Linked DNA regions of Drosophila melanogaster. The protein of the gene in region 1 interacts with the protein of each later gene in a biochemical or structural test. Each region holds a gene or a part of one and is shown in the gene's direction. Other genes may lie near its edges.

Region 1 (5,303 bases):
GGTTTCCATCATATAATGTAATTAGGTATTAATAGGAATTTAACCTGAATGTAAATTTCAAAAATGTACTAAACCAAAATCATTACATTCATAAGTTTAAATCCGACGTATTGTAACGAATTTAATTTTTTTCTTAACCAATAAATAATAAATAGACAAATCACAAAGTTATTTTTTTTTCATATTACTATTTTCTTTGTGCACATAAAATTTTGTAAATATTTCGAATTTAGAGGCCCGTAGGAATATGGTCTTATACGCGTTATTTATTGACTGATAAGGAGTACTACATTCTTTGAAAATTATATCGTATATTGTTAATCAGGATCACTAAGCGGGTCAATTTAAAAAAATAAATAATAATATATCTAGTTTTCGTTGTCCTAGTAACTTACAGTTTCTTCCAGCTCTATGACAACGTTTGAGTAGTGACCAGATGTCCAGTTTTTCAGACGCCAGCTCTGCTGTATTTTTTTTTCAGGGACGAGCTCTTCGAATTTTCCGAGCACATTGCCTCCGTAAAGAATAAATCTACAATAAAAGACAAAAGATTACTTACCATAAAGAAGTGAAGACAAGGGCGAGGGGCGAAATTTATGGTTATTCATAACAAGATTACTAAATGACGACACAAACGGTCCTGATGTGATGGTAAAATAAAACGACCAGGGACAAAAACTTACTCTCCACCGCGCACGGCATCTACTTTGGCAGGTGCCCTCGTAAAGGCAGTGACCATTTCTGGCTTTGTGAGAGCGTTGTAAAGGTCATTGGCGCTGCAGTGAAATTCTTCGGTCATCGAGAGAGTGCGAACGTCCAGTTTACAGCCGATGCCAGAGTTCTTCAGCCTAGGAGCCGCCACCGAGGAGTTTAAAGCGATATTTTGGGCTGCATTACGGGTATTGTTGGCATCCTTAAAATTCGCCACAGTATTTCCCGCTCCGGCCTCGTCGCCCTTCTTTGGTAGGATAAGGTTCTTGGAGTACTCCTCCTTCAACTCTCGGATGTAGGAAGCCAGTTGCTGCCGCACGCGGTCTCGTCCCACGTTGTACATGAACTGTTTCAGGGTCTCCGACTCGTCGTTGGACTCGTCGATTGTCACCGTGATCTCTACGTCGGCTAGTTCGTTCTCCTCGGAGAGATTGGGAATGGTTAACTTGCCCTTGTGGATCAGCTTGCTGTTCTTTAGGAGCTTTCCAGACCACTTGAGCACCAGCTCCCACTCGTAGAAAAATATGAGCTTGCCCTTGCGATTGTTCACGGTGGCCTCCCCGGAGCATTTGTCCACGGAGTCCACGGCACACTCAATGTCGCTTTGCCCTGCGTTTTGAGAAGTTTACTTTTAGGTTAGGATATACCTAAAATGTATGTTCTACACTACTACAAATTCTTATATACTCGCCTATTTTGAAATCCTGAAAAAGCTGATGCAGGCGGTCCTTGGACCATGGCGTGGCGTTCTTTTCCGTCCAGTGCCAGTTGTTCACGTTGGTGGCGTCGGGCCGCTCCTCCACAATCCAGCGCGGATCTCCTTCTCCCCACTTGGCCATCGCTTTCTTACTGTAGAATTGTATGAAACTGTCTTCAATTTTATGAAAAGATGGAAGATGTTGGTTTACTTTTGATCCGGCAGTCTTAGCTTAAACTAATTCGGACAATTACTATGGCCAGCGAGTGGAATTTTCTAGAATTCTGCGGTTCAAAATAGGGATGTAAAAATTATCGATGCCAGTGCACACATATGTTGGCAGCGTTGCCACCAAGTCCGAGGTGTTTGTGCCGTTAAAAAAACGAAATGATGTGTAAATTTCCTGACGATATTTTAAATGGAGTTATGACGAAAGACGTATTCGTTCAGTGAATTTTTTAACAGATTTAAAATGGACAGTAAGTATTGGTGGTATTGTATTTTTTTATAACAAGGTTGTTTTAATGTTATATTTTTATGTACGTCCAAAACTTTAAGTTTATGTTTTTAACTTGTAACAAACAATTTTCGAAATGGTAATAGCCGATTCCCGCAAATCACACCATAATGGATGTAACAAAGTTGTTTTACAGCTTTTCAAGCTATTTGTCTTGAAATAGATAAGGTCTGCTCTAATCTCTGAAAAAGTGTACCCCTAAAAATATTTAATGTATTGTTGCAAGTAAATAATTAGCCCTAATTTTTTTAGTTCTACTGATTAAAAAGTTCTTACGTTTGGTTACAAGATGCAGTGGCATCAGGATATTTTAAAAGTGGCCACACAGAGCTCGCGTAACACCCAGCTTAAGTCAGCATGCACTTGTTATTTTTCAGTTGTTTACTCAACCGATAGCTGAATTCAGCACATCCCTAGTGGAGAGCTGAAAGAAAATGGCGATAGAATTTTTTTGGTGTTGATTTGTTTATTATCCGTTCGTCTTTGATTGTTCAATGAAAAGCCTTAAAAATTAGCCAACTGCTGGTGAAAAATGTACAACTAGAGTGTGTGTCGTGTGCGCGAGAGTGTGTGTAGTAGCTCAGTAGCTCCGCGATGATTAGCGCAATGGACAATTTCGACAACAGATCGTACGGTGCCATATCAAAGGGGCGCAGTGAATTCTCAATGCCAGGTAAACAGCAGATACTTTTGCTGGCCCGAAGGATATAGCCTAGCATGAACAGAATACGAATCTTTGTATTGATAAAATTTTATTAAGATCACAAATTGGGATACCCACAACTACAAAATAAGAGAAGCAACAAGCAACATTTGTATGTATAGACTTGTGTGCTAGGTGAAATGTTAGTGCACATATGTATGTATATTATGTACATATGTACATTGCGTTCTCGTTTTTGGCCTTCGTCAGAATTAAGTCCGAAGAGCTTTGGTAACGCTAATAAGCCAATTTGCACAATTAGCAATCCATTGTGGTTTCGACAAGTGAAAATTGTTTATCGGCCTAAGCTAGTGACGTAGCCTACAAGATGCTTTCATCGCATCGCAAACAGCTCGTGTATGCACGTGTGTATGTGTGTTGGGCGCGTGTGCCTGGAATGCTGCTCTGGTGTTTTTTATTTTTACTGTTGGTGTTGCGATACAATTTACAAAATGCCCAGAAACAAGTATATGAATTTATTATTGATTCGCATCTCGTTCTTGCAGAACTTACACCGGAGCAGCAAAAACTGCTGATTGAGCTGCGACGCAAGAAGCAGGAACTTTTACTCGAAATACAGGTAATTGACCATCAATATATACATACATTTTTAATTTTGGAAACAACGATTTAAGAACATATTCGTATACACTTGTAGTATACAGAAAAACAATTTCGTGATGTCTTTTTGTCTGGAGTTTTTGCCAGCTTCTTTTTAGGTGATTTGACAGAGAGGGAGCAAAGACACTAGACTTATTCCAGAGCCTTTGTAGGGAGGGCTTGACGGGCTCTGAATTTTTTTATATGAACGATTAATCTTAAAATATATAAATTTTAATAAACCGATAATAAAAATGATGGTAAAATTATTGTTGGTGCTAAGAATTAATTTAGCAAATAATCGAAAGTAAATATCCCAAAAAAAAATACAATAAAAACATTAAGAAGAGAGATAGTGGGCAAGAGAGTCGATTTTTATGTTGTTGAGTAGCATATGTGCATTTATATGTATTTATAAAATTTTATGAATACCTATAAGCCAGACCAATTTGGTTTTTTTTTCTACTTAGGTTGTTTTTTAACTCCTTAATGCGGGAAGATTTGTGATCTGGCGGCTAGTGGCAAGTTTAGCTATTTATGTTCGTGTTGCGATCGTGACTAGTTTTCACTTTGTTAAGACTTCTTTATGTTCAACAACTTTTTTAAAAGAAATATATATTTTAGTGCTCATATCATATCATACCTGAATACAATGACCATGGTTTTAACCCGCACGATCTACGATTGAAATAAAGCATTTGAAAATGAGTTGTTAAACGCCATATAGGCTTTCTCTGGTGTCTTTCTATAAAAAAAATCCAAAAATACTTGCTAGGATTTTAATATTTTTTGTGGTTAAAATTACCACTCACCAGCCCCATTACAAGTGATAATTTTGGTAGTGTATTTAAAGTCTTGTCAAGACATAATGTTTCAATTACCAAATCTGAATTTGAACTGAATTATTCACTCGAATTCCGAATATACAAATAAAATAAAAAGAAAATGTTTGTTCAGTCGAAACAAACTGTCCCTCCGGAATTCCCTCAGAATATTCAAGTCATCGCTCCTGTGACGATCGGTTCACCAGAATAGTAAAACTGCTGTCTTCCAACAGCGAACTGGAGATTTTTTCGCGTGCTGTAATTGTGGTTCTTCGAGTCGTGATCTAAAGTGAACGAATTTTTATTTATTGGATTTTTAACAATTGCCGTTTTGTCATTGTGCTGATATGTGCAAATGCTTGTATCGTTAGATTGTGAGAAAACGCAAAGGTGAGTGTGCTAAAAAGTCAATTATAAATTTGTGTGTGGTACGATACTACCAATTTAATTATCAATTGTTAAAATAAACGTTTGCTGAAATTAATAAAAATATTAATATTTTGCTAGTACAAGTCCTAGTTAAAGGGCTTTTATTTATTGATAACTTTAATTTAAAAAATGTATCTACCTTAATAATGTTGAACTACTTTTAGTGTAAGGATCATGTGTTGTTATCGGTCAAAATTTTCGTATGCACATCTGCACCGAAATGGAAATCTCATATTTTTTCTGATTCCCCCGAATTTCCGTTGCTTTTTTTTCCTAACTATCGGGCTTTATTATGTCTACCTGGATATGCAATTGACACATCGTCCCCTACCTTTCACTCTTCTGTTCCCCGACTACCTGGAGTTATAATTTTTAGCTCAGCGCAAAATTACCTATTTTTTTATAGAATTTATAGAATGGATATTTAAAACCAGACAGAAGAATAATAAAAGTATTTAAACCCCTTAATCGTAGAGTAAAAGGACATACTAAAGCAAGTATATTGTACTACATATATGTAAAGTATATACAACTGTGCATGTTTCAATGATATGTATATAGACATATATTTTAAAGAATTTATGCCATTAAAACTGGTTTTATCCCATTTAAAATAATTGGTATATTTGTAATCAAAGGCTTTAAACTAATGGATTGCAATGATATGTTTGGTGTTTACACTTTGAATGCGTCGTTTGTGTGCACAGAAATTTCGAAAGAAAAATACGCAAATGTCTTCTTCACTGCGTTGCGGTCTTCTGACTGAAATCAACAAAAATCACAATTCTGTATATTTTTTTTATGTTTATTATTGTATTTACT
Region 2 (6,558 bases), on another chromosome or scaffold:
ATGCATAGTGAGCCATCTCATTGGACATGTGCTGCCGGAATCGCAAGCACTCCGGTTTGATACCAATGGCCAACAGGAACTGCTGAATGCGGGCCATATAGTAACCAAGTGTCTCATTAGCCACCAGTTTGGATGCCACTGCTTCGCCGATTTGCACCTGAGCGGCAGACTTTCCATCCATCTGGTTGCACGCCGAGTAAAGGGTCAACTTTTCCGATTTGATGTTGCCAAATTTGGGATGGTCCTTGAGCACGGGATCACAGAAATGTTCAATCTCTGCCATGGTGAACTCTCGCACACGGATCAATCCCGATCGGGGTGAGATTTCATTGCGGAAGGAGTTGCCAATTTGAGCCACAGCGAAGGGAAGCTTGCCTTGATTGAATTCCAGCAGTCGCTTGAAGTTGACGAAGATACCCTGGGCAGTTTCGGGCCGCAGGAATCCCTTGACCAAGCCAGTGGGTCCAATTTGGGTGGCAAACATCAGGTTGAACTCAATCGGTTCTGTTAAATCATTGCCGGTTAATGGAGATTTGATGTTGTATTTGGCCAGGACACCAGCCAATTCCTGTTTGTTCAGGCCATCCAGTTTAATGATAATATCCTCACACTCGGCCTGCAGGGCGGGAGTTGCATCCTTGGCCTTAGATAGCTTTTCCAAAGCCTGCTTAATGAGATGATCCAGGCGGAAGCACTCGCCGGTCTTGACATCCTTGACCATCAGATCAGCGAAACGCTCCACATGACCAGAGGCTTTGAGCACAGGTTCGGGAGTCAGAATAGAGCAGTCCACCTCCAGCATTTGCTCTTCGAGGGCGAAATACTGACGCCATAGGGCCAGAATGTTGGACTTGAGGGCACAGCCCATGGGTCCAAAATCGTACTGGCCGGTGATGCCGCCATAAATTGCGAAACTCTGGTCGTAGAAGAAGCGACGCTTGAGTAGATCCTCCATCTTCGCGCGATCGAAACTAACGACACTGGGGGTCAGGGCGAGCTCTTTGTCCTCCAGCAGCTTCTTGCGTGCCTTCAGCTCGGCTACTGCCTTTTTCACATCGATCTCGGGGGCACCCTTCGCCTTGAGATCCCTCACCAGGTTACCCTGCTCCTGAACTCGTTCCCTCAATGGGGCAAGTTGAGCCTCAATCTCGGGATTCGACATGATGAACTCGGCAGCGGCGGATCTTAGTTTTACCTTTCTATTTTGCTTCTTGGTGCCCCAACTTGTGGTTGCAGCTGGCTGCTGCGGTTGCGTTGGTGGAGGTGGTGGTGGTGCGGAGGGAGTAGGTTTTGTGGTAGTGGTGCTAAAAAACACTTTCGTGGCAATGTGCTCGCTCCACGTTGTTCTTGCAATCTGAGTTCTCACGGCTGTGGTGGCGCTGCGCAGGTGGGGTAGCGCTTTTAACAACTGCAATGACATAAAGAGGCTTTTATTTTTTCAGCCGAAAAACGCGAATTTATGTAATAAACCGTCCAATTGGCTACTGCTGCAATACCTTCACTTTCGGCTGCAATTTCGACTTGGATGAGTCTTAGTCGGCCGGCTTGCAGCACTGTCTTTGCACAACACTGATTATGGTTAACAGAGCTGCTCAGTGATGCGCAATGTTGCGACTTTGGTAAATGTTATTTGTTTTTATTGTTTTATATTTATTTTTTATTTGCTATATTTGGTAAATGTGTCTTGGATAGTTTGGTTTCAACATAGTTTCAACATATTCTTTCATCTTTACTTATAGTTGAATAAGCGATGGAATTATTATTTAATAATATTAAAAAATTAATTAAATTTAAAAACAATGCTCTGATAAAATTAAGGTATCCCAAAATCACTGTTACCGTGTCGGCAACATTGATCACTTGTCCCTAACAGGGCGGCTGATAATAACAGCACCTTATGATGTTTTTCAGCACTCCAGTACATCGATATCGGGTAGGGCCTTCTTCGTTATCGATATGTTTAGTTTTTGTTTTAATTATGTAGGCGCAGCATTGCAGTCTGGTTTTTCCCATATAATTTGCTCAATTTTGGTTTAGTTCGGCCGAACTCAAGTGCTGCCCAAACCAATTGCTCAAACGCGTAGCGCACAAATTGAAAAACAAGCGGTTAATGTGAAAAACAGGACGAGTTTAGTTGTTTTCTATCCGAGGGGACGCGGCGTTGCAACAACAGCGACGCTATGCGACCGCATTTCGAGCGATAAAACAGAAAGGTGTGCTTCTCTCTCCCTCTCTCGGCACTCTCTCACCTGAGCTGCTAATACAAATGTTGTTTTCCTGCCAATTTTCCGAAATCTTTATTGCAAACACTTAAAAAATTAACTCATTCACAGGCGCTGCCACACATAACGGTTGATGTTTGTTTTTACGACAACGCACACACACGTACACCGGCCAAAGAGGCAGCGGTCACAACAACAAAGGTCTTCGTTCGGTGAGTTGCGAGTTGTTTTTGTTTAACCGTTTTTCGTTCTTGACCTGTTTTTGTTGTTGTCTTGTTGTTTTCTTTTTTTTTATGAGTGGGCCAATCGATCTGTATAAAGTATGCATTATAATTTATTTATTAGTCATAAGCGTAGTTTGTTATTGTACGTGTATGTGTGCACACCATTTTACATCATTTAACATGCACAGTGGAGGTTCTTTAATTAGAAACCAACCCCCACGATGAAAATTATTAAGAATGCGGAGAAAAAACCAGTTTGGTTCCTCTCAGCGAGCATCCACTGTAGGCGCACTTAATTCAACGACTTTTGCACGTTTGATATTAAGTCATCGCCGGCCACGAAGGCCAAACTCAAGACTGTACGAAACAAAACCAAAAAAATGTTCAAAAACACGGACACAACAAACCTAACAACACCTCATCGGGATGCTCTATGTTTTGGGTTAAAGTTCTGGCCATTTTTTTGAGAGGGTTCGCTTCAAGGTTTACTGTGGTTGTGGTGCGTGATGAAACGGGTTGGAAATCGGAAGCAAACAAAAACTAAGTCTGTACATACAACAAAAAGCATTAATATCCTAATAAACTAGTGCACGTCTCTAATTCAAAATGCTAACTCTGAACGAAATCATCCAGGGGTATTCGACAGCTCTGATACAATAAGAATTTATACAGTATATTTGAAAATAATTCAGATAGTTTTCGTAGACTAACTAAGAAAAATCAGCTTCTGAGTTACAGACTCATTCTGTTATATTTTCTTTCTTGTTTCAAAATGTTAAAAAAAAAATGTAGCAAACAAAAATGGAATGGTTAAAGTTTTGTATCAGAGTGGGGTGAATACCCCAAAATAAACCCATAAATTACATAAAAACAAAGGAGGCGACTGATCGAAGACTGCTTGTCTTTTCTAGGATCCCCTGAAATACCAAAACCCGCACCAACAACCCACCAACGAAGCCGACGAACCACTGGCGATGCAATTGAAAGCGCCCAAGAGCAGAAATATGGCCAGTCTTAAAGATGAAGATCAGGCGGCAACTACAAGCAACTCTATGCACAATCTCAACAACAACAACAATACGAATAACATAAACAATAACCACAGCAGCAGTAGCAACAACAATAAAATCGAGGATGATCCAAAGGTTAGGAAGGAGAATCTGGAGGCTAGGAAACAGGCCTTGGAGCAGCGTCTTAGCGAAAAAAGCTGGCTGCTGCAGCAAATCCAGAAACAGGAGACCGCCATCATCAATGGCAACTACGAGCACATGACGGTCAATGAGTTTTTTGTCCAATTAGCACAACAGTACAAACATGAACAGCAGCTGCAAGCGTTGGCAAGGGAAAACAGCTCAATTCTGAGGAGAAAACAAAGTACAACGAGTCGGGAAAGTCGCGACAGCCAAATGACCATCAACAATAACAATCGACAGTCGGAAACGCTATCGAATCGCAGTTCAGAATATGACAATTACCAACCCTCCTCATCGGCGGGGGCGGGCGATATGCTGGTAATAGGCGTGGCCCAGCAGCAGGCGCAACAACAACCGCCTCTGGTGAAGAGTGCCCTGAAGAAGCGACCAACACCCACGCCGAGTCAAATGCAATATATGCGCCAGCAGCATCAGCAACAAGCTCATTTAGCAATGAACATGAACTACCAGAGATCACAGCCGGATGTCATATCCATGTACTCGGCGAATTCATCCAATGTAGCAACTTTAAGGCAACCGCCACAAGTGGCGCCCCAGCAGCAACCAATTATAGTGCAGTGCGATAAATATTACCTATCGCCCACGCATCAAAGTTACAATGAGGGCGGCTTTATTAAATCAAGTCAGAACATCAAGAAATATGTGTCCCCAATGGCATCGCCCAGTAATATCAGCTACGAGCAGCAGCAACAGCGTAATCCTTTACATCACCAGCGACAACTAGATGCTATATCCCTTGCGCCCAGCTATGTTTCCGTCGATATGGAAGCTGCCCAGCATCAGCAGCAATATCGATGGCGTTCCCAGTCACACATAGCGCCCTTAACTCCTCCACAATTGGGCATAATAGAGGTGAAATCGCACTCCAGCGATATGCTGGCGGTGCCTATGCCACCCAGCCGCTATCCGCCGCACGATGAGATCTCACTGTCATCCTCGTCCACGACCATTGAGAAGAAGCCCAAGCCCAAGCAGTGGCTGGAATCTTCGCTAGATGGGCCAGCTGTTATCAGGCAGATGGATTCACAGCCCCACAGTCCAGCTGGGAGTAGTAATGGGAGTAGTAATCCCGGCGCAGCTGCCATGGTTTCAAGTAAACCCCGCGCTAAGCTCTCCTCGCAGTCCATGTCGGTAGCGGGTCGTCACTATTCCATGTCCAACCAGCGACCGACTCCGAATTATCCCAGTGCCAGCTATGCGGTGAATACCAGTTCGAAAGCCCTGCTAAGTCAATCGACTTCGTATCTCAATGCAATGGAGCAAACTTTGGGGATATCGGTATCGTATCCGCTGGAACCTCTGGACATACCAGCACTGCGAAACTTACCACCCAAGCCAAGTCAAATGCAGCAGCCAACGCCGCCGCCCAGACCGCCACCCGCAAATCAGGCTCATACTCAGAACCAGAACCTAAGTCACAGTGGTAATGGCAGTTCAAGCGGACTTGCTCATGGGAATGCTGTCCAAACAGCGCTTGTGTCACCGCCAGTAACAGTGGCCACAGCCAGTTTATCGCCGGAAATTCGCATCGAGTCGCCCAAAAACATGACCGTAGTTCAGCAGGCCACTTTCCAGCCGTACAAGGAAGTGACGAAACCCTTCGAGATGTCCGATTTCTACAAATACTCCACCAAGTTTAAGCAAAAGGAGGGCGGAAATCCTAATTGACCTATAAGGTTGTACGGAATTCTCATGCACTTTCACCTTTTAATGTGATTAACTAAACTAATTTTGTAGCACTGAGAAACTACAAAGCAAAAGCAGCTCAAACTATTGGACTCCTTTCGAATTTTAAGTTCGTTAGCCAAATTATTTAGGATCAAGAAAATAACAATGCTCAAAAGATCTGCCAAATTGAAAACTGACGTATTGAAAGCAATTTATCGAACGACATTCAAATTTTGTATTGAATTTTTAAAGTACAAAAAACACAGGACAATATTATCCCCGAGGGGGACAGAAATCGCCTTACAACAGGATGCCTAGAAAATATGGAAATATTTTATATAGTTAACAGCATTTATAAACAAATAACTGACTAGCTAACTAATAAGTGTATAAAGGATATTTACCCTAATCGAATGATATTTTTATATGAATATACCGATTGGATACTGATATATTCACCGAGTTTTCTTAAGACTAACTACCGACAAGCAATAACAAATAGATAAAAATAAATATTTTATATTAAAATATATGCGAGTGCGTTTTTATTGATATTTAAGCATTCAAATATTTCGTTGAACTTCCAATATTTTTCTCAAAACATTATTAATGCTCTTGTAGCATTTCAGATTTTTTGAATAATTGAAATGAAAAGAAAGCTTTATATTTCCCTAGCCTATAAATAAATGTCTCATTTATACCCATAAATGTGTTCTCACTTCCTTAAATCATTCCTTATCGAATATATCTTGTAGTTCCTTAATCTCTGGTTAAAACTTATTTATAGAACAACCGATAAAACTTAATTACTTTCCTCCCCTTTATCTCTCGGATTTCTCTTTGTTTCTCTCGCGATCTGGTAGTAGTACATTGAATTCTCTCTTTTGGACTCTCCCCAACTCAATGCCACTGCAACAAATTTTGTTTACGATTGATTATTTTTAAACAATCTCTTGTTGTGCTTCACTGAGCATTACAGTATCTGGATGGGGAGAAAAAGAGCGTGGATATCCCCCGATACCCCAAAAATATAAAGACTCTTCGCAATGGATTTGGTTCTCAGTTGCATCGCGCTCGCTATTACGTGCAACTGTTTCAGATCGGTTGCACTATTGGTTTTTTTTTGTTTTTAAGTTTCAAATTTGTCGGTTCTTTCTCCCTCGAGGAGCATTGAAAATCACATAATGATAAATTAAGAGTTCACGCTTTAAGTAGCTAGTTTCCCCCATT

Evidence for each region.
Region 2: the proteins of step (region 1) and sstn interact in far-western blotting, tested with the Drosophila melanogaster proteins (2 studies listed by BioGRID).

Annotation. Positions count from the first base shown.
Region 1 is NT_033779.5:21,754,459-21,759,761, reverse strand, and holds the start of step (steppke), read left to right. Parts: upstream 1-2,295; 5' UTR 2,296-2,519; coding exon of another isoform or gene 2,520-2,598; intron 2,599-3,134; coding exon of another isoform or gene 3,135-3,208; intron 3,209-5,303. Other genes in the region: CG1416 (uncharacterized protein), read right to left, coding at 396-531, 684-1,320, 1,403-1,550.
Region 2 is NT_037436.4:15,090,124-15,096,681, reverse strand, and holds sstn (stepping stone), read left to right. Parts: upstream 1-1,962; 5' UTR 1,963-2,213; intron 2,214-2,333; 5' UTR 2,334-2,434; intron 2,435-3,357; 5' UTR 3,358-3,420; coding exon 3,421-5,328; 3' UTR 5,329-5,859; downstream 5,860-6,558. Other genes in the region: GlyRS (Glycyl-tRNA synthetase), read right to left, coding at 1-1,420.